Arabidopsis thaliana: one gene and its partners. The protein of the gene in region 1 interacts with the protein of each later gene in a pairwise test. Each region holds a gene or a part of one and is shown in the gene's direction. Other genes may lie near its edges. The genes, in order: CBL6, MTN1, CIPK1 and CIPK9.

What was found.
Region 2: the proteins of CBL6 (region 1) and MTN1 interact in a two-hybrid assay, tested with the Arabidopsis thaliana proteins (one study listed by BioGRID).
Region 3: the proteins of CBL6 (region 1) and CIPK1 interact in a two-hybrid assay, tested with the Arabidopsis thaliana proteins (one study listed by BioGRID).
Region 4: the proteins of CBL6 (region 1) and CIPK9 interact in a two-hybrid assay, tested with the Arabidopsis thaliana proteins (one study listed by BioGRID).

Annotation. Positions count from the first base shown.
Region 1 is NC_003075.7:9,241,786-9,245,538, reverse strand, and holds CBL6 (calcineurin B-like protein 6), read left to right. Parts: upstream 1-1,626; 5' UTR 1,627-1,663; intron 1,664-1,842; 5' UTR 1,843-1,869; coding exon 1,870-1,987; intron 1,988-2,066; coding exon 2,067-2,137; intron 2,138-2,221; coding exon 2,222-2,281; intron 2,282-2,352; coding exon 2,353-2,461; intron 2,462-2,542; coding exon 2,543-2,676; intron 2,677-2,767; coding exon 2,768-2,880; intron 2,881-2,958; coding exon 2,959-3,034; 3' UTR 3,035-3,240; downstream 3,241-3,753. UniProt on the Arabidopsis thaliana protein: Acts as a calcium sensor. CBL proteins interact with CIPK serine-threonine protein kinases. Binding of a CBL protein to the regulatory NAF domain of a CIPK protein lead to the activation of the kinase in a calcium-dependent manner.
Region 2 is NC_003075.7:18,112,658-18,116,937, reverse strand, and holds MTN1 (methylthioadenosine nucleosidase 1), read left to right. Parts: upstream 1-1,761; 5' UTR 1,762-1,941; coding exon 1,942-2,041; intron 2,042-2,129; coding exon 2,130-2,193; intron 2,194-2,276; coding exon 2,277-2,368; intron 2,369-2,527; coding exon 2,528-2,634; intron 2,635-2,876; coding exon 2,877-2,951; intron 2,952-3,054; coding exon 3,055-3,129; intron 3,130-3,200; coding exon 3,201-3,293; intron 3,294-3,385; coding exon 3,386-3,583; 3' UTR 3,584-3,777; downstream 3,778-4,280. Other genes in the region: AT4G38810 (Calcium-binding EF-hand family protein), read left to right, coding at 1-154, 462-686, 789-917, 1,104-1,331; AT4G38790 (ER lumen protein retaining receptor family protein), read right to left, coding at 3,961-4,009, 4,093-4,217. UniProt on the Arabidopsis thaliana protein: Enzyme of the methionine cycle that catalyzes the irreversible cleavage of the glycosidic bond in 5'-methylthioadenosine (MTA) to adenine and 5'-methylthioribose.
Region 3 is NC_003074.8:5,988,394-5,994,622, reverse strand, and holds CIPK1 (CBL-interacting protein kinase 1), read left to right. Parts: upstream 1-1,621; 5' UTR 1,622-1,995; coding exon 1,996-2,187; intron 2,188-2,283; coding exon 2,284-2,346; intron 2,347-2,544; exon of another isoform or gene 2,545-3,407; coding exon of another isoform or gene 3,408-3,422; coding exon 3,423-3,494; intron 3,495-3,597; coding exon 3,598-3,705; intron 3,706-3,781; coding exon 3,782-3,862; intron 3,863-3,961; coding exon 3,962-4,141; intron 4,142-4,223; coding exon 4,224-4,439; intron 4,440-4,530; coding exon 4,531-4,635; intron 4,636-4,725; coding exon 4,726-4,842; intron 4,843-4,933; coding exon 4,934-4,996; intron 4,997-5,088; coding exon 5,089-5,163; intron 5,164-5,251; coding exon 5,252-5,314; 3' UTR 5,315-5,699; downstream 5,700-6,229. Other genes in the region: AT3G17500 (F-box family protein), read right to left, coding at 6,125-6,229. UniProt on the Arabidopsis thaliana protein: CIPK serine-threonine protein kinases interact with CBL proteins. Binding of a CBL protein to the regulatory NAF domain of CIPK protein lead to the activation of the kinase in a calcium-dependent manner.
Region 4 is NC_003070.9:63,645-69,504, reverse strand, and holds CIPK9 (CBL-interacting protein kinase 9), read left to right. Parts: upstream 1-1,879; 5' UTR 1,880-1,992; coding exon 1,993-2,181; intron 2,182-2,607; coding exon 2,608-2,670; intron 2,671-2,755; coding exon 2,756-2,827; intron 2,828-2,947; coding exon 2,948-3,055; intron 3,056-3,162; coding exon 3,163-3,243; intron 3,244-3,344; coding exon 3,345-3,398; intron 3,399-3,640; coding exon 3,641-3,766; coding exon of another isoform or gene 3,767-3,772; intron 3,773-3,852; coding exon 3,853-3,942; intron 3,943-4,048; coding exon 4,049-4,174; intron 4,175-4,287; coding exon 4,288-4,395; intron 4,396-4,487; coding exon 4,488-4,604; intron 4,605-4,697; coding exon 4,698-4,754; intron 4,755-4,848; coding exon 4,849-4,935; intron 4,936-5,029; coding exon 5,030-5,107; 3' UTR 5,108-5,338; downstream 5,339-5,860. Other genes in the region: AT1G01130 (CBL-interacting Serine/Threonine-kinase), read left to right, coding at 5,694-5,860. UniProt on the Arabidopsis thaliana protein: CIPK serine-threonine protein kinases interact with CBL proteins. Binding of a CBL protein to the regulatory NAF domain of CIPK protein lead to the activation of the kinase in a calcium-dependent manner. Involved in K(+) homeostasis under low-K(+) stress.

The DNA of each region.
Region 1 (3,753 bases):
CAATCTCTTCCTTATTAAAAACTCTTTTTTTTTACCGCAATCTGAGAAAAAAGAGGAAACTTCTCACCAGATCTCACCACAAATTCATCACTTACACAACATACTCGATTACAAGGACATGCCCGGGTTTAAAGATTGGTGCTTTTTCCCGTAGAAATTGATCAAAAAGAGTAGTAGGGACGGAGAAATTGAGGGCAAATTTATAAAAAGCCTTCCTGAGAGATCAGAAACTACAAACAAAAAAAGCAGGAAAGAGAAAACGAAAAAAAAAGGACCAATCTTTGATTCAACTGAAGCAAGACTCTCTACTCTCACACAAATTTCTTGCTGTTGTTGTTTGTCATAGCATCAATTGTTGTTGTTCCCATACCACTCTCCATCTTCCCCCACTCACATTTTCTGCTCTCTCTTTACTTTCATCTCTTTGTTTTTTCTTTATTGCATTTATTACCCTATAGTTTGATTTGGTTGAATTTACCCCCCAACACCCCACATTTGGTCTCAGTCTAATCAGTGGTAGGCACATCAATGGTCATCATTCTCACCAATTATTAGATAGATGTTGTATTCAATTCATTAACTCACTCGTTTGGTAATGCTCTATGTTTCAAAAGATGTAAACTTTGAAGTGGCCAGATTTATGTTTTTGTGGTCAATGTCTTTCTTTTCCCACCAGTTGAGTTTATGGCTATATCAAGTTTTCTGTTTTGGTTGATATTTGTTTTCCACCACTCAACTATTCCTCATAGATGATGGAAACATATAACAACCAAGATAAGAGATAGAGATAGAGAAGGAAATAATCCTTGAGTACATATAGAGAGAGCCTAGCCTAGTTAGTTAATATCTGTGATTCAGAGTGGAAGTGAGATTGTGATGGTCTTGCAGTATAAGCCTGTGCTGACTTGGGAACACTTATTTCAAACTAATCCCAACAAAACAAACAATAAAATTTACATCATAAAGTTGAATGGTATGTTGTTTGGTATATAAAAAAAGAGGAAGCAAATTTAACATCTTTACCATTCACTTTTGATTGGTTCGTCTTCAGAATCCAGAGACTTTTGTTGGTTTGGCCGTATCAACTAGAAAAATTGAACCTCTTATATGCGAGAAGTCGCTTGTGTTCTTGGAACCAACATTTATCTTTTGTCTCGTCAGGTTTACAAAGCGCTTCTTGGAAGCTGACTCAACAGCTTGCTGTTAAATAATTACAAAGGACCTGTGAGGAGGAAGAGGTCAAAAAGAAGAAACAGAGAAGATCAACAAAGTTTGACATTGAAAAACATAGATAGTTGGTGGTCAGAAGGGCTGGATTCATTCTTTGCCAAAGCGTATCAACTTCACCTTCAGGCTTGTTTTGTGAATGTTATTCCCTAAAACAGACTTTTTTTGGTCTTCTGAATCTTGTTAGTTATGATGAATGAATCATAGTATCTTCCTTTTTCTCTCTCTCTCGAAATGTCAACTTGTTAGAGTGGTCACCAACTAAGAGTTGACTTATTTACGCCAACGAACTTGTAGATCCTTTCCCATGTCTCTGTAGCCAACAAAAACTTTTATGGAGAGAGAGAAATATCAGATCGTGGTCAAAAAAATAAACACTCTTGGAACAAGTCGTGATCTGAAGCTTCTTTACACGCTAACGAGAAAAAAAGAATAGGTATATTGCTTTGGTTCATCTTCTTCTCTTCTCTCAAAAAAGTCAAGACTAGATTCATTTGATGTCTCCATTGGATCGGCAAATTTATGTTCGATTCTTGATTTTTTTTCTTGATGCCATATGTTTAGAGGGTTTCTGTTGACATTCAATGGATTTAACCTTTTTTCTGTTTGTGGTAGGCATGGACATAGTGACTTTTGGGAGAGATGATGATGCAATGTTTAGATGGATTAAAGCACTTAGCCTTAATTCTGTTGACTTGTTGTGATGCTGATCCTCCCAAGGTTCGTCAGAACCCTAAGGATGTGGCTAGAGGCACTGTGTGTATGTGTCTACCCCTACATTTACTTTTACTATTTTTATTTGTCACAACCCCAACAATGGCTTTATGTACCAAATGCAGTTACAGTGAATGAGATTGAAGCTCTTTACGAACTGTTCAAGAGCATTAGCAAAAACGGGCTTATCGACAAGGTATGCAAGAATCCATAGTCGGACACGAGTACTATATCTCTCTGTTCCTCTACATTCACTAGGATCCTTTCAAATATATTGCAGGAACAATTTCAATTGGTACTATTCAAAATGAACACAACGAGAAGCCTTTTTGCTGATAGGGTAAATTAGATAGACTTGTAACTCACTTATATGAGTTTCCTTGCTGTACACTCATACTTCAAGCTTTGCAGGTGTTTGACTTGTTTGATACCAAGAATACTGGGATTCTAGATTTTGAAGCCTTTGCTCGTTCACTTTCGGTCTTTCACCCTAATGCTAAATTTGAGGATAAGATTGAGTGTAAGTGGTCGAGAGAGACTTGACCTTCTTTTTTTTTGTCATATCCAAACCTTGGATCAAGCTCATCTTTTGTCTCTGCAGTCTCTTTCAAGCTGTATGATCTGAATCAGCAAGGTTATATAAAGAGACAGGAGGTGAAGCAAATGGTTGTGCGGACTCTAGCTGAATCTGGCATGAACCTTTCTGATCATGTGATTGAGAGCATCATAGACAAGGTGGGTTTGGTTGATCTCCTCCATTGACACTAACTAGGATTCTCATATTTAATCTTTGACAAGAGATGTAAAAACTGATTGGTGTGTGTAGACATTTGAAGAAGCTGATACTAAACTGGACGGGAAGATTGATAAGGAAGAGTGGAGGAGTCTTGTGTTGCGCCACCCCTCTCTGTTACAGAACATGAGCCTTCAACATCTCAAGTAAGCTAGCCATGTTATTTGCCTTATTATCTTCTTCGTGCGGGACTAACATGTTTTTGTATGTTGTGTTTTGTGTAGAGACGTAACAAAGACGTTTCCAAATTTTGTATTTCACACTATAGTGACAGACACTCCTAGTGAGCTGGATGGATGATCAGGGATGTGAAGAAAGACCAAAACCCTTTACAAGATCATTCATACTTGATTCTTATCTTCTTCTCCATTACTCTATTACAACCCTCCTCTTTATTTTTAATAAATACGTTCTGAAAGCAGCATTACCTCACATGTTTGTGTATCCGCAAACTTGTTCGGTTTATCTTATCTGTTGGAGTGTGCAAATTGATTCTTTTACTCGGCATTAGTTTTATTTTGTTGCTTCTTCTTTCTTTCTATCTAAATTTGTTAGTTGGAGTAAAATCCGGACAACCATATTTTACAGGGAACCCAAATGGCGAGATAGTTTTAACATGAGAAAGGAAAGATTCATGTGAATGAGAAACTGGTTAACTTGAATCTCATAGATCATTGTATACTTGGACATTTTCCCAAGATTAGAACAAACAATACTAGATCTCTCGAAAATATCTTCATCACAGTTGCAAAGAGCCGTGGAGAACCCAACTCTTGAGCTCAAAATTGTATCAGCTAGTGACGTCAACCATATCGAATATGTCACGGACAAAATGGACGTATACGCCGTCGTTTCAATCAAAGACAACACAACTCAACAGCAACAAGCGGCCAAAACTCCCATTGATATATAACGGAGGTTCTAATCCGACTTGGAATCACACACCGTTAAGTTCTCCGTCAACGAGAGAGAAGCCACGAAGCCCAATAATTATGTTAACCAGTGTAACGTTTTTTCAC
Region 2 (4,280 bases), 8.9 Mb from region 1:
GGAGTTTGTCCACGGCCCTGGATATGAAATCGAGAGCATTTCTGTTTTCTCAGAGCTCTCCAGTAGCAAGGACGCATCGCTCCGTGATTGTATCGTCAAAGCTCTCCAGTCTCTTTCTGTTGATCATGGAATGCCTCCTTCCAACGACCCATGGGTACCTATTTATTTTATTTTTATATATTTCTGTTAAGCTATGGATTTTCCTAATTTAACTTCAAATCTAAATTTATATGATTGATAAAATAAAGCATATAATATTAAGAACCGTTTGTTTTTGTATTTTTACCAAAACCGTAAAAATACTTTTCGGGTGTTTTTTTTTTGTTGTACAAAATATCAGAACGATACTTACATGGTGGGAGTACATATGATACGTAATATGTATCCAAGTTCGTATTTGATGTTATATATGTTGCTAGAGACAACTGAGTTTTGCCTAAAAAGCAAAGTCCTTGTAACAGGTGATGAGCAACATCGTAGAACCAATTGTTGACTCTTGTCTTGATGAAGAAGATAAAAGAGAGAAAAGCGCGTCTCAGGAGAGATTCTTGGAAGCATTCAAGAGAGTCGTGGAGAGTGTGGCTCAGCGTCTCAATGAACAGCCCGTGATCGTTGCTCACAGCGAAAACACCTTTGATGGGAGCGGTATCAGGAGGCTCTTGTCCAATAAATTCGAATTCGATAAGGTAAACTACCATACATATATATGTTATCTAGCTTTTATGCTAAAGGAAAACTTTTTAAATGATGGTAACGAGTGATGATGATCCGGAACGGTTTGGTCGCAGGCACTAAACGTTGCCATGGAGACGATTCCAAAAGACCGTCAGGGTAAGGTGTCTAAAGGATATCTACGAGCTGTGCTTGACACTGTTGCACCATCGGCCACTTTACCACCAATAGGCGCTGTGTCCCAGGTAAATAATGCCCCGTCTAAATTATTTTGTCTTTTAAATTGTTTATTTTGCCTTTGAATTTACATGTTACAATTATTTGTTAAACAAATGAAACCAGAATTAGTGTTTTAATCAAAAATTATTAGTGAATTTTTATTTTTATTTTTTGAACGGCATTGATTAGTTAAGTTTGTTTTTGTTTATAAGATGGATAATATGATAATGGAAGCGTTGAAGATGGTGAATGGAGATGATGGAAATGTGGTGAAGGAAGAAGAGTTTAAGAAAACAATGGCAGAGATATTGGGGAGTATAATGTTGCAGCTCGAGGGTAGTCCCATATCGGTTTCCTCTAACTCGGTGGTTCACGAGCCGCTCACCTCGGCTACCTTTCTGCCGTCAACTTCGACTGATACAGAGGAGCCTTCAAACTAATCATAGAAGGGAATAAGCAGCACTAGCAGCAACAAATGTTATATGGTTTTGACTTTTGAGTGTTTACCCCCAAAAGTTTTAGATTAATGAGGAAAACCGTCTTTACTTTCAGATGTATAAAATTGAAAGTTTGGGGTTTCCTCTTGTTGGTGTGGTGATTCTACTCATGCCTTTTTTTTTTTTTTTCTAATGACCATGGGATGCAATGTTTACTCTGTTTTTTAATTTCGTTAAAATTTGTTTACGTTTATGATGCTTGAATGGCTATGATGAAACATTTGAGTTATCTTTAAAAGTGTGAAATAAATATTCTGAAGTTAATTGAAGAATTTGAAAATTTGATTACAAGAGCTTGGCTAAAACTACAAGGAGACCAGATTAGTACAAAAACTTAGCTAAATTTAATTAATTACGGTCATTAGCACAAAAAAATAATTTGTTTTTATTATATTATTATTGGTAAGTGGAAACACAAAAGAGGACCAAAAGGTCCAAAAACGAATAAACTGTATCTCTCATTCGCCGGAGTTTCCAGCCGTTTCTTTCCGATTCTCGGATTTTTCCTGGGAATCAAACGCATCGCCGAGAATCGGAAGAGAGGGATAAGGTTATGGCTCCTCATGGAGATGGATTAAGTGACATCGAAGAACCTGAGGTCGATGCTCAATCGGAGATTCTTCGACCGATCTCCTCAGTCGTCTTCGTCATCGGTACTTTATGATTTATGAAGTTTCCGATTCGATCGATTTCTTCTTCGTCTTCTTACTTACTTTTTGTGTGTTTCTGACGGAGCTGCAGCTATGCAAGCGGAGGCTCTTCCTTTGGTCAACAAGTTCGGACTCTCTGAAACTACTGATTCGCCGTTAAGAGCTCTCCTTTTTTCGATTTTGCTTGTTTGGATTTGATCTCCATGAATCTCTCACTTCAAAGTTTACTTTTTTGCAGGCTTGGTAAAGGATTGCCCTGGGTTCTGTATCACGGCGTGCATAAAGATCTTCGAATCAATGTAGTTTGCCCCGGAAGAGATGCAGCTTTAGGTAAGCTTTGCACTCAATGCTCTCAAAGATATGATAATTAGCCTGTGAATCTCTCAGCATTTTAGTATAGTAGCTTTGGTTTCTCAAGTCGCTGCATTGTTTGGTATGAGGGAAAATGAATGCACTTTTTTTATGCTACTAACTGAGATTTCTCTCCAGGGATCGATAGTGTTGGAACTGTTCCAGCTTCTCTCATAACTTTTGCTTCCATCCAAGCATTAAAACCTGACATCATAATCAATGCCGGAACCTGCGGTGGCTTCAAGGTACAGTTCTTTTACTTCTCGTGTGCTCTGTCTTGACTTCCAGCATCCTTGCTAAGAACCACGTCCTCTCTTCTTTCTTTACTTGTGGTTTGGGTTTGATTTTGTTACTGCTCGTTTACTCAACTCTGAGATTTGAGTTGCATCATAAAAGATCTCTCTCTCTCTCCATATCTCTATTTTTATGTTGTGAAAGTTGGTTTATTTTCATGTAATGAAAGTGCTGATTGGCTGAACATTTGCAGGTCAAAGGAGCCAACATAGGCGATGTATTCCTTGTATCTGATGTTGTGTTTCATGATAGAAGAATACCAATTCCGGTAGGTTCATCTTCCTTTCTTTCTTTTTTCCATCTTTAGTGATGATTCCCTTTTTGCCAGTTCATCTTGCAAGTTCCTGAGCAATGTTTGTTTATCTCTCTAGATGTTTGATCTGTATGGAGTTGGTCTCCGTCAGGCATTCTCGACACCCAATCTCCTCAAGGAACTCAATTTGAAGGTATTTAATAGACTCAAGATGCTACTTACTCTTTTAACTATTTCAATTTTGACAAAATTGGGGTGGTTCAGATTGGCAGGTTATCTACTGGTGACTCGTTGGATATGTCCACGCAAGATGAAACATTGATCATTGCCAATGATGCTACGCTAAAGGACATGGAGGTAGTGTAATGTTAACAATTCTTATTACTGAATCTAACCAGAAAATCAATGAAACTGTTGTTTTGAAACTCTTTTGGCTCTGGATTCTTCAGGGTGCTGCCGTGGCGTATGTGGCTGATCTTCTGAAAATACCAGTCGTGTTCCTCAAAGCCGTGACCGATCTAGTGGACGGAGATAAACCTACAGCAGAAGAGTTCTTGCAGAACTTGACAGTTGTGACCGCTGCATTAGAGGGAACTGCTACTAAAGTGATCAACTTCATCAATGGGAGAAACCTTTCGGACCTTTAACTTCTGTTCTCTTCCTTTTTTATGGAGAGTGATTTTTTAAAATGCGTTCAACGTGCTTGTTGCAGTTTCACTGATTTCCAGTGATCATATTTCTCGTTAATAAATTTCAAGTTATAAGACGTTCTCTCCCTAGTGTTGCTTAAATTTTGGTAAAGAAACAATTTCAAAGATAACTTATCGACCTGAAAGACGTTAAATCCCTTGATAGGCAAAATATACAACACTGTAAAATTAATTCGTAACCGAGACACTTGGTGAAACCTCAAGACACATAAACGATGAAATCAGAGGTAAAGAAAAATTGAGCTATCTTTCCCAATTAGAATTTCCGTCAAGCTCATCGCAGGACATCGTTGGGGTATTTCTATCTTTTGAACTTATACTACTCCAGACGGTAGCCGGAGAACAAGCTGGCCTCCGAAAACGCTGTAAAGAAAAATGTTGAAACTTTTGAGATATATACAAAGAGCTAAATAGCTAAACTGTTGAAGTGAAGGACTAATGCGTACCTTTTGACGTAGTAGTAACAGAAATCTGCCAAGATGAAAGTTTGAACAATTTCTGAGATCAGAACCATTGATGGCCACAATCCATAACCCAATGCTACAAGCAACCGTCCCCGCGTGTCCACAACCTATTTTCAGCACATTAGACAATGTATTCAGCTATTCAAAATCGACTTTTAAGGTACTAATCC
Region 3 (6,229 bases), on another chromosome or scaffold:
ATATAACACACCTAGTCATCTACACACAAAAGAGAGAGAGAGAGAGGTTCTGATAACATAGATCAATCAATATGTTACTCACTGCCGGCAGCAATACTATCACCGGCCATTTTGACACGTTTGAGAGACTCGAATAATTTTAATTATTGGTTTTTTCTCCTTTTCTATATAGTATCTATTCATTTCAGCCACATCATTTACTAACTACAAATTTTAATAAAAACCTTGGGAAAAAGATGTGTAGAGAAACATGTGACATATGACCTTTTCATTACCAAAAATATGTTGGGACGACTGACGAGAGCTAAGAACCACTACATTCTTCAATAATCTATGTATCCAATAAAAAGATATAATATGGAGTTTTCCAAATTCAAGAGATTAGCCTGGTGCCCAGGCCCTGGTTTATTGAAACTTTTGGATTCTCAAAAACAATTTATTTATTTTAATTAAATACACAAACCGCATAAGAAAAACAAATATAAATTGAATGGTTCCATGTGATTTAATTAATTGTGAGCCGACAAAGGACGAGACATGAAATATAGTATAAATTACCATAGTTTTTTTTAAAAAATATTAACTTTAAGTGTATCATTAACGATTGTGTTTCTAAACGCTTGCCTATATTGCGAATTAAAAATTTGTAAAAGTCTACAACTAATATTATTAGTCTACAAAGACAGAAACAATATAAAACTGAAAGCACCATGTTTATTTCCCCCCAAACCGAAAGCACTATCGTAAAAAAGTGTTTTAAATCTAATTATCAATTCATGCACGATATCGACGTATATAAATGGTTTATTACCAAATTATCTCTTAAACTGAAAATGCCACGACAATGAAGACCTACTGTCTATGAAACCAAGTCATAAGTTCAAAATTTCCATAGAAACGAATGGGTTATGAACGCGTTGTTTAATTTGTTGTAGTGTGTATATATAACTTGATCTTAAGTTTAGGTCTCTTTTGATCTCCTCTTTTATAACAAAGGTACAAAACTAAACTGTAACTTTAAGAAATCATAGTTGGACTTCAACTTTTAAGTAACTCCAACATGAAAACTTGGAAAGTATGTGATTCCTTGTGAACTTTTATGTGTATACAAGTTTGTTTCTACATTTAAGAACTAAAATCCGAAAGCCAAATCAAAACTGCTCCAGTAACAAGAACTATAAAACTGCAAGCACCAATCTTTTTGTAGCGTTTCTTTCTGACTTTAAACCAAAAGTTCTTATGAATATATTTTTTCATCTATTATTATTTAATTTCAACATAAAACTAATGCAACAAATGACGTGGGCCTATTGATGCATACAAGTACACACATAAAATACACACATATTCGCAATATACATCATATATAGAATTATTCTGATAAATCAATATACTCTTTGCGTATATTTTCCATATTTTGATTGTTGACAGAAATAAGATCCTTTTTAAATTTCTCCTTATAATGAACATAGACATAATTTCATTTGATAGGAGTTTTATTTGACCAATAATAATAAATCTCGATAAGTACCCTACTAAAAAAATCTTATTTCGATAATATCAAATCTTATATGGTTTGTTAGATTAATCTTTTTCTTTTGTGAAGATTAATATGTTTCTAGTTATCCAATAAAAATCTGGCTAACAAAAACCAAAAAAAAATAGTTAACGAGGAATATATATATAAAAAGAAGTGAATATAATAAGAAGAGAAGAGGAAACAAAGAGAAGTAGCGTCCTCTCTTCAATTTCAACCGGCACTTTCTTCTCTTCTTCTTCTTCTTCCCAATCTTCCTCGTCTCTTTACCTACACCTATATATATATATATATATATATCTCCTTCCCTCACACACATACCTGCACAGCTACAATAATCTACTTCCCCTCTTTCAATAACGGAATTAATAGTAATCTAATCGGAAGATTCAAGCGAGAAATCGATTTGGTTGTCTGTTAATTTGTTGGGAAATAAATTGAAATAGGAGATTGATTGGATGGTGAGAAGGCAAGAGGAGGAGAAGAAGGCGGAGAAGGGAATGCGTCTGGGGAAATACGAGCTAGGGAGGACGCTCGGCGAGGGTAATTTCGGTAAAGTTAAATTCGCTAAAGATACCGTCTCCGGTCATTCCTTCGCCGTTAAAATCATCGACAAGTCTCGTATCGCCGATCTCAACTTCTCCTTACAGGTTCCCATCTCTCTATCATCATTTCTAATTTTTTTCTTTTCTCTTCTTTTACTAAATTTGTAATTTGACAGATCCAATTCTTATGAATCTGTGCAGATAAAAAGAGAGATCCGGACTCTGAAAATGTTGAAACATCCCCACATTGTTAGATTACATGAGGTCCGTATCTTAAATTTTTGTGTATAATCATCTTTGGATTATCGAAATGATTCTGTGATTAGGAAGTAAAAAGGTTTATTGCTTAATTAGTATAACAATTTTTGATTATTCTTCTGTTTGCTTGTTTCTGTTTATTTAGTATATACCTGAGTATGACAGAAAGTGATCGAATTATTGCCTGCTTATGGATGGTTATTCAAATTTTGATTCGTCATTTTAGATTGTTAGATTAGGTTTAGTAAACTATTTTTAGTTAATTTCTTCATTGTTGTTTCTTTATCTATCAAAATGGAGCTGACGAGGATTAAAAACACCTCAAATCTTGGATAATTGTTGTTTGCTTTTTGGATCTTTTTTTTTACTGTTTAGGAATATTCTTACAAGTCATTTGGTTTCGTACCCAAACATGTTTCATTTAGCTTGTTTTTCACGTTGCCAATTAGCCGCATCATTTTACATAATTATTAAGTTAATTATTCCATTATTTGATATGGTGGCTTGGCCGGTAACACAAATCTGACCTGTTCAATTCAAAGGTGGGGTCCTAAAAAAAATTATCGTGAAAAATGCAGGATATGTCGCTTGATCATCATATAATTGCTTAATCTTAGTACCCTTTTAAGCTTTTTATCATGTGGACCCTCTTTGATCTTATGCTTAGTTTTACTTTTTATTTTATTTTATTCATATAGTATTATTTCAGATGATTATTGTATGGGTCATTGCTTGCTGTATCTTTGCGTTTTATTGTTGACTTCTAATTATTTCGATTGCTTCTTCCTCTTTGCCATTTAACACGAGATTAATCGTGACTTTTGGTTAAGCAACCATTGTGGATCTTCACTTATTTGATACACGTGGTCCACTTTTTAAGCTCGTGACTAACTTTGTCGTGTCTTGGACAACTAAGTGTTTTTTATGTAATCTGTGGATATGAATGCAATTCGAATTCTAAATGTTTCTTTTTCTTTCTTGTGACTAATCTTTTGGATTCTCAAACATGAAACATCTTACCTCAGAACTCACTGTTCCTTTACCTTGAAACTAATGGCCTCTTCCTTATGGTAATCATGCAGGTCTTGGCTAGCAAAACGAAAATTAATATGGTAATGGAACTTGTTACCGGAGGAGAATTGTTCGACAGAATTGTAAGACTCTTACTAGCCTCTATGCTCAAAGCAAAAAAGATTTTTTTTCTTTTTTTGACGAGTGTCATTTTTGCTAAACTCACACTTTGATGATAACTCTCAGGTTTCCAACGGAAAATTAACAGAAACTGATGGAAGAAAAATGTTTCAGCAGCTTATCGATGGAATCAGCTACTGTCATAGCAAAGGTGTTTTCCACAGGGATCTCAAGGTCTGTGATTCTCTCACTGTGTTTCAAACCATGGAAACCTTATGGAATAGTGTACTGATGTTTTTCTATATTGCAGCTAGAGAATGTTCTTCTTGATGCAAAGGGACATATAAAGATCACTGATTTTGGCCTCAGTGCTCTGCCTCAGCATTTTAGGGTACTTGAAAATATCATCTTAAAACCATAGCATATCACAGCAGAATTATAATTGTTGAATCCGTTCGAGTTACAACTAATTTTCTCTTTGGCATTTTAGGATGACGGATTGTTGCATACAACCTGTGGAAGTCCTAATTACGTTGCGCCTGAGGTTTTAGCTAACAGAGGCTACGATGGTGCAGCATCAGACATATGGTCCTGTGGTGTAATCTTGTATGTGATTCTAACCGGATGTCTTCCTTTCGACGACAGAAACCTTGCAGTTCTTTACCAGAAGGTAAACCTCATTTTTTCTTATATATATGCCAATTCAATACACATTTTGAAGAAATAAGCTTGATAATTGATTTGATTTCTAGATATGTAAAGGAGACCCACCAATACCAAGATGGTTATCCCCGGGTGCAAGAACCATGATTAAGAGAATGCTTGATCCAAATCCAGTCACGAGGATCACAGTTGTGGGTATTAAAGCCAGCGAGTGGTTCAAACTTGAGTACATTCCTTCAATTCCCGATGATGATGACGAAGAAGAAGTTGACACAGACGATGATGCTTTCTCAATCCAAGAACTCGTAAGAATCTGCCACCCTTACTCTCTATCGCAACTGCATTTGAGTCAAGTACAATGTCCTCATTTCTCTGTCTCTCTTTTGAATGGTCTAGGGATCAGAAGAAGGGAAGGGCAGTGATTCACCGACCATCATCAATGCGTTTCAGTTAATCGGAATGTCTTCCTTTCTTGACCTGTCCGGTTTCTTTGAACAAGAGGTAACTAATCTTCTAATACTCTGTTTCAAAGATCTGCTCTCTGCTTGAGCCAATGTATAATAAAAAGGAGTTATACTTTTACTTTCTCAGAATGTATCAGAGAGGAGAATAAGATTCACTTCAAATAGCTCAGCAAAAGATTTACTGGAGAAAATCGAAACAGCCGTTACAGAAATGGGATTCAGTGTACAAAAGAAACATGCCAAGGTGGGTCTTCACAACATGGTCTTCCTCTTCCTTAGCAACTTGGAATTTCAAATCTGTAGGTTTATAAACTTTAAACTGTATTTTGTTTCAGTTAAGAGTAAAACAAGAAGAAAGAAACCAGAAAGGTCAAGTTGGTTTATCAGTAACAGCTGAGGTATATTAACTATTACGTAAACATTATTTCACTGTTCAATAGACTATTTAGTGAGATTATTTGACTAATAGAAGAAATTCTTATGATATCAGGTTTTCGAGATAAAGCCGTCACTGAACGTGGTTGAGCTAAGAAAATCTTATGGCGATTCATGTTTATATAGACAGGTATGCCACTATTGTCATTTCTTAATTAGACTGAAGAAACACATATCAAAGATAAAAATGTTTATGTTTGATATTGGGGTTGGTGCAGTTGTACGAGAGACTATTAAAAGACGTGGGCACATCCTCGCCGGAGCAAGAGATAGTAACTTAGGTGTTGGTGTTTTCGGCTGAAGAGATATACATAGCTCTAATAATTTATCATATGGAACACACCATCCATGTTCATATAATTTATTATCTTAAGTATATATAAAAGGAGCTCGATTTATATGATTAGTGCAAATAGTAATTGCATTTAAGTATAAACCGTGGCGTAGATCTTTCCTCAAGAATTAGAGATTTTATTCACTACCTTTGTATTTGTTTTTATTATTATTTGGTGTGGCAAATCTGCCTACTAGCAAAAAAGATCCCATAAAAAATCTCTTCATTATTTTTGTAAATAATATACATGTGTTTAGTTTGTATCTGTACATCATTCAATTCCGCACCAACCGATCTACGTATATAAATTTTTAGTATTATGCTATGTTGCTTTCGTCTCATAAAATACTCTCAAGAGTCATGAGTCATGTGACCTATCAACATTTAGCGTCCTGGAATGTAACAATTGTAGTTTTAAAGTTAGTCAAATTCACAACTTGTTCTTGTTTTAGTTGGAACTTGAATGTAGTGCAAATAAGCCAGGAATCAAAATAATATATCTAGTCATAGATTAATCAAACGATTTTACTACAAAAACGCAAAAACGAATAAACAAAAAAAGGAGATTGAAGAAATTACGTCCTTACCTGTATCGACTAATACTGAACCAAACTTGGAACATAATTGAAAATAAAACGGCTCACATGAGTTCATAAAAGGAATGAACTTAGGCCATTCGCCAAAATGGATTTCTGTGTATTCACGGTCCTCCCCAACAATGTATACAAGGTTCTTGCTCGCAAGTCTGTTACTTGTCTCACAACCCACATAGCAAGGCCATTCCTTTCTCCTTGTCGATGAAGAAACTGTCATACGATAACATAGCACGACCACCAATGTCTACATCTACCGTAAAGAATTT
Region 4 (5,860 bases), on another chromosome or scaffold:
ATTTTATAATAGTACTCCAAGTTATAATTTCTGTTACGAGGCGAGAATAAACGTGGGAGAGGAAGGAAAAAAAGGTGCCGTGCGGTGCAACTAGATTTTACATATTTGTACACATATTTCACGATTGAATCTTTCAAGACATTATATGCTTTATCAAATTTTATATATATAACAATTAGATAAGAAACACAATCTGACCCGACTCTACTATTTATAATTATACGTATGAATCTCTAACTTCGTTACTAAAACGGCAAATACTAAACCCTGAAAGGAAACTGTGTGAGAAACAGTTAGGCCCCTTGACCATCTTTGTTCAACGTTGTCAACGAAAAAAAAATGGAACCATAAAGGATAATTAATTGTATCACAAAAAGACAAACACAAATTATTGAATATACCATCACTTATCAGTATATAATTTTATACAAATGCTTTAAATAACAAATATTATGTAGAAAAAGAGAAAAGAAACTTAACTTGGTCAATTTGATCATTTGTGTAAACGATGATGCGGAACATATGCGATAATAATGTTATTGGATGGCAAAAAAAAAAAAAAGTATTTTAGTTGGGCCCTAATGTTAATTCACAATCAAGCCTAAATTTGGTTAATGGGCCAATCTTTCTTATATATGTAGGACTCGGATGTTCGGTCTACTCGAACTATCTACAAACCAAGCTAAACCGAAAGTAAATACAAAATCAAACCAAATAATAGTTTGGTTTATATAGGTTTTAAATTTTAATCCATATAATCCAATAAGTTCCAACTCATAACCAGGAAAATAAAAAAAATGTGGAATGAAGAAGTTCAAATTGATAACCAAATGAATTGCTTTCATATGATGGTGACGTGATGTTTTTGTACCGGACTCAATTATTGGAACGAGTGGTTCATTGTGCATTATTTGCATTTTCTTTTGTTCGTAATATACTAACATATCTAAAAAATTATTGTATCATTATTACTAGTCATGCAATAAATCATCAACTCACACTGTCTGCCACACTTTTTTAATTTTTCTGCGTATTTTGGCATTATCATATGAAAGAAAATAAGAGAAACAAATAAAGGAAAGAAGAAAAATAAAAACATTATCACATTCTGTGAAATCTCTGAGTTTATCAGGAAGGATATGTGGGGTTCATATTCATACCGTTCCCTTTACTCACATCGTCACATGGAAAGATCAACTATTTCAATTATCTATTTATTTATTATCATATACTTTAAATAATCAAATTTAGAACCGTTACAAACAAAAATAAACAGCTACATCAAATTTAAACAAAAGTAAGTATATGCGAATATTATCATAGATTTAAACAAAATTTGACCAAGATATAACAATCATCATTTAACTACCAACATTTGATATATGTATTTATTGTTCTTAGGTAGTTTCCAACTTCTAACTAAAGACAAAAAAAAAAGTTATATTTAGAGAATATTTCTACATGAAAAGAATACAACTATATCAAATAATATGATAACAGTCAACTTTGAACATCAGTAGAATGGAATGAATCACTGAAAGATATACTCATATACACATAAAGATTAAGGACATCAAATCACATCCCTTACAAATAAAACCATATCCACATAAATTTAAAACCCCAAAATTTTCATAAAATCCATATACTTAAACAGGAGTTTCTGTATATAGTTACCACACAAGAACAAAATTATGGAATTTTTTTATATGAATGAAGAATGAACGTTACGAACGTACACAAGTACAAATAACACGGGACTGACGCGGAACAGAGCAAAATAATGATTTTTGACATTACGTGGCATACGGGACCCACAATACGCGCGTGACTCCCAGTCGCGCCTATTAAATCTCTCGCTCGTCCACTTTCTCTCGTCAGCCTTAAAACCAGGCAGCCACTAGAAGAAGGAGAGATATTGAGGGAGAAGAATCACATTGATAGATTCGCCGCCGATCTAGAGCCGTTGATTTTCTTAATCGGAAAAAGAAAATGAGTGGAAGCAGAAGGAAGGCGACGCCGGCGAGTAGGACGCGAGTAGGGAATTACGAGATGGGACGAACTCTCGGAGAAGGAAGCTTCGCTAAGGTGAAATACGCCAAGAACACCGTCACCGGAGATCAAGCCGCTATCAAAATCCTCGACCGAGAAAAGGTCTTCCGTCACAAAATGGTCGAACAGGTTCGTTAATTGTGTTTGGTTTGATCACGTAAAATGATTATGGATTTGTTTGTTTTTAAGTACTATAAAGAACAGTTTAATTTCGTGATTAGGGACCCACATGTCCTCCTAGGTTGGTGTTCGGTTATTAAGGTTAATGTTTGATTAAAGTGTTAACAATAATATTTTAAAATATCGAATTTTGTATGAATGTTTTTGTTTCTGTATATATCTACACGATGCTGATCTTAGTACGCATTGATCAAGATAACTATTAACTATGATATGGATATGGTTTTGAAGTTCGAGTAGCTTTGTTTTTGATTTGGTTCGATTTGAATCTGTTGAAGATTTAGTTTTGTATGCTATATATGTATGATTGGAAGTTATGAGCAAGATCTCGAAGATATAATGATCATAAAGTTTTATTTTTTTGTTGTTGTGCAGCTTAAAAGAGAAATATCTACAATGAAACTGATTAAACATCCAAATGTGGTTGAAATCATTGAGGTACGAAACTAATTAGTTATCATTCCTTAGATATTTTTTAAATTAAGTTTTGAATCTTAGCGTGTAAAACATCTCTCTGTGGTAGGTTATGGCGAGCAAAACGAAGATCTATATCGTTCTTGAGCTTGTCAATGGAGGTGAACTCTTTGATAAAATCGTAAGTAACCTAACTTAGAGAATCTTCCTCTCTTTTCTCTTCACAAATATTGACATATGTTCTCTGTCTTTCTCTCTTCTTACTCTTATGTTAATTCTTGGATTTAAATCATATACATAGGCGCAACAAGGGAGGCTTAAGGAGGATGAAGCTCGGAGATATTTTCAGCAGCTCATCAATGCTGTGGATTACTGCCACAGTCGAGGTGTCTACCACAGAGATCTCAAGGTCTTTCTTTTGTTTTTGTGCACTCTTCTTGTTTCCTGTGATTACGATATTCATTCTTCTTAGTTCTTATTCAAGTTTCTTTTGTTATCATCTGTTCCTTGTTGCAGCCTGAAAATCTGATCCTTGACGCAAATGGGGTTTTGAAAGTCTCTGATTTTGGGTTAAGCGCCTTCTCACGACAAGTTCGGGTAATGCCATTATATTTTTCACTTGGCAATTAATTTCTGATATATATAACCAAGATATCAATTTGAATGAAGTGTTCTAAGCATTGTTCTTTTGAATGCAGGAAGATGGTTTGCTTCATACAGCTTGTGGAACGCCAAACTACGTTGCCCCTGAGGTATTATGTACTAACTTTCAGCACTTAAAAAGGCAAAGAATATGAAATGTTCTGTAGATCCTCTTTGGAAAATAAGATTTTAAGGAATTCAAGAACTGCTAATACGTTTTTAAAAAGGAAGGAAATCTAACAAATGCTATACGTATATATAGACTTCATTTGCAGAATCTTCTTTATTTATGATGTATATAAGAGATATGCCTTTAATGTTGTCTACTGCATTGTGTTGGATTTGCTGGCAGGTTTTGTCGGACAAAGGCTATGACGGTGCAGCAGCAGATGTCTGGTCTTGTGGTGTCATTCTCTTTGTGCTTATGGCTGGTTACTTGCCTTTTGATGAGCCGAATCTCATGACATTATACAAACGTGTACGTGTAAATTATCTCTCCCTCTGCTTCTTGATCTTCTGCAGTACTTTTCTAGTCTCATCTTTGGTGTTTAATATATACTTTAGATATGCAAGGCTGAGTTTAGCTGCCCACCATGGTTCTCGCAAGGTGCCAAGAGAGTCATCAAGCGTATTCTCGAACCCAACCCTATTACCGTAAGTGCCTCTTACATGAAGTAATAGTTGTGAAAATGTGAACATGACATGCTGCCAACCATAGATTGTGCAAGAGCTTAAGTATGTACTTATTTCTGAAATGCAGAGAATAAGTATTGCAGAGTTGCTCGAAGATGAATGGTTCAAGAAAGGGTACAAGCCGCCATCATTTGACCAAGATGACGAGGACATAACCATAGATGATGTTGATGCTGCTTTTAGTAACTCCAAGGTAAACACCGCCATTTCCAAATTCTCCATCTGGTTGTGTATATCATAGTTCGGTTTAAGTAAACCAATGTATTGTTACCAACTAATATCACTCTTTTTGTGCTGCTACTCTAGGAATGTCTTGTAACTGAGAAGAAGGAGAAACCTGTATCCATGAACGCTTTCGAACTTATCTCTAGCTCAAGCGAGTTCAGTCTTGAAAACTTGTTCGAGAAGCAAGCGGTAAGAACTTTTTTCTACTTACAGTTTGTCTTGATTTTCTAAAATCATGCATAGGTTTTATCTAACTAAATCTGATTTGTTGTTGTTTGCAGCAACTTGTGAAGAAAGAAACGCGGTTTACTTCTCAACGATCTGCGAGTGAAATAATGTCGAAAATGGAAGAAACCGCAAAGCCATTAGGCTTTAATGTCCGTAAAGACAACTACAAGGTCTGTTCTTCTTCTTCTTCTTCTTCTTGATTTTGTTTGTGTCAACTAATGTCTTTGTAGCTTCGTTAAACATTGTTTAAGTAAACTTCGCAGATAAAAATGAAAGGAGACAAAAGTGGTCGTAAAGGTCAGCTCTCCGTAGCTACAGAGGTAAGAAAGAAAAAAATACTCCGGTTCAGTTCGGTTTTTGGATTTTGATGAATATCGTTATCTAATTGTTATGGTTTGGTAATCGGTTTAATAGGTGTTTGAAGTGGCGCCATCATTGCATGTGGTAGAGCTTAGGAAAACCGGTGGTGATACCCTCGAGTTTCACAAGGTATGTGATTCGGTTTGATCTTCATCAAAAACCGGTTCGGTTTTGATCCGGTTAACATCTCTAGTTTAGTGTTTAAATTGGTTTTATGTTTGAATCTCTTTTGCAGTTCTACAAAAACTTCTCATCTGGATTAAAGGATGTAGTCTGGAATACTGATGCAGCCGCTGAAGAACAAAAGCAATAAGAAATAACAAGTTGTTCAATTCAAAGTTTTTAATCAATGTTGAACATGTATAATGAATAGTAAACATTCTGGAGTTGGCAATATACAAGTATTGCTGACAAAAGAGCCAAACTAGAACTAGAAGTGGTCTATAGAGGTAGATCACCATAGGTTAGTCAATAGCCACATATGTGATCATCCTCAAACTCGGTTTGAAACCTATAAATCAAAGTTCAAACAATTCAATTAGGCAAAAAATACTCTGCAAGCTGGCTATTTGAGTATAGTTGAAAGTTGCAACGATGTTGTCGCTTTATGGCAACGCGTTACAATGACACAACATATATAACAATTTGGAAAACACAATGATAGAATTATTAAAGAGAGGTTATCTTAGCTACATAGATCTACGTTTGCAACCAAAAAAAAAAAGTTTTATTTTGATGTACAGTCACACATTGATGACGGAGTGGTTTCTAGTGAGGAGTTGGTGTTGAGCAGACCAACGTTAATTGCCCAATAAGTTGTGTGAGTTGTCTAATCTTTCAAATCAAACAGCCCGTAAAGCCCATAAAGTCGCAAATTTCGCATTCCAAAGTTTTTAAGAATGGAGAAACGTTCAGATTCAGAGAGTGTAGAGATTTTGGGTGATTGGGATTCACCTCCTCCGGAAGAAAGAATCGTAATGGTTTCTGTTCCCACTTCACCAGAATCTGATTACGCGAGATCGAATCAACCGAAAGAGATCGAATCTAGGGTTTCAGACAAGGAAAC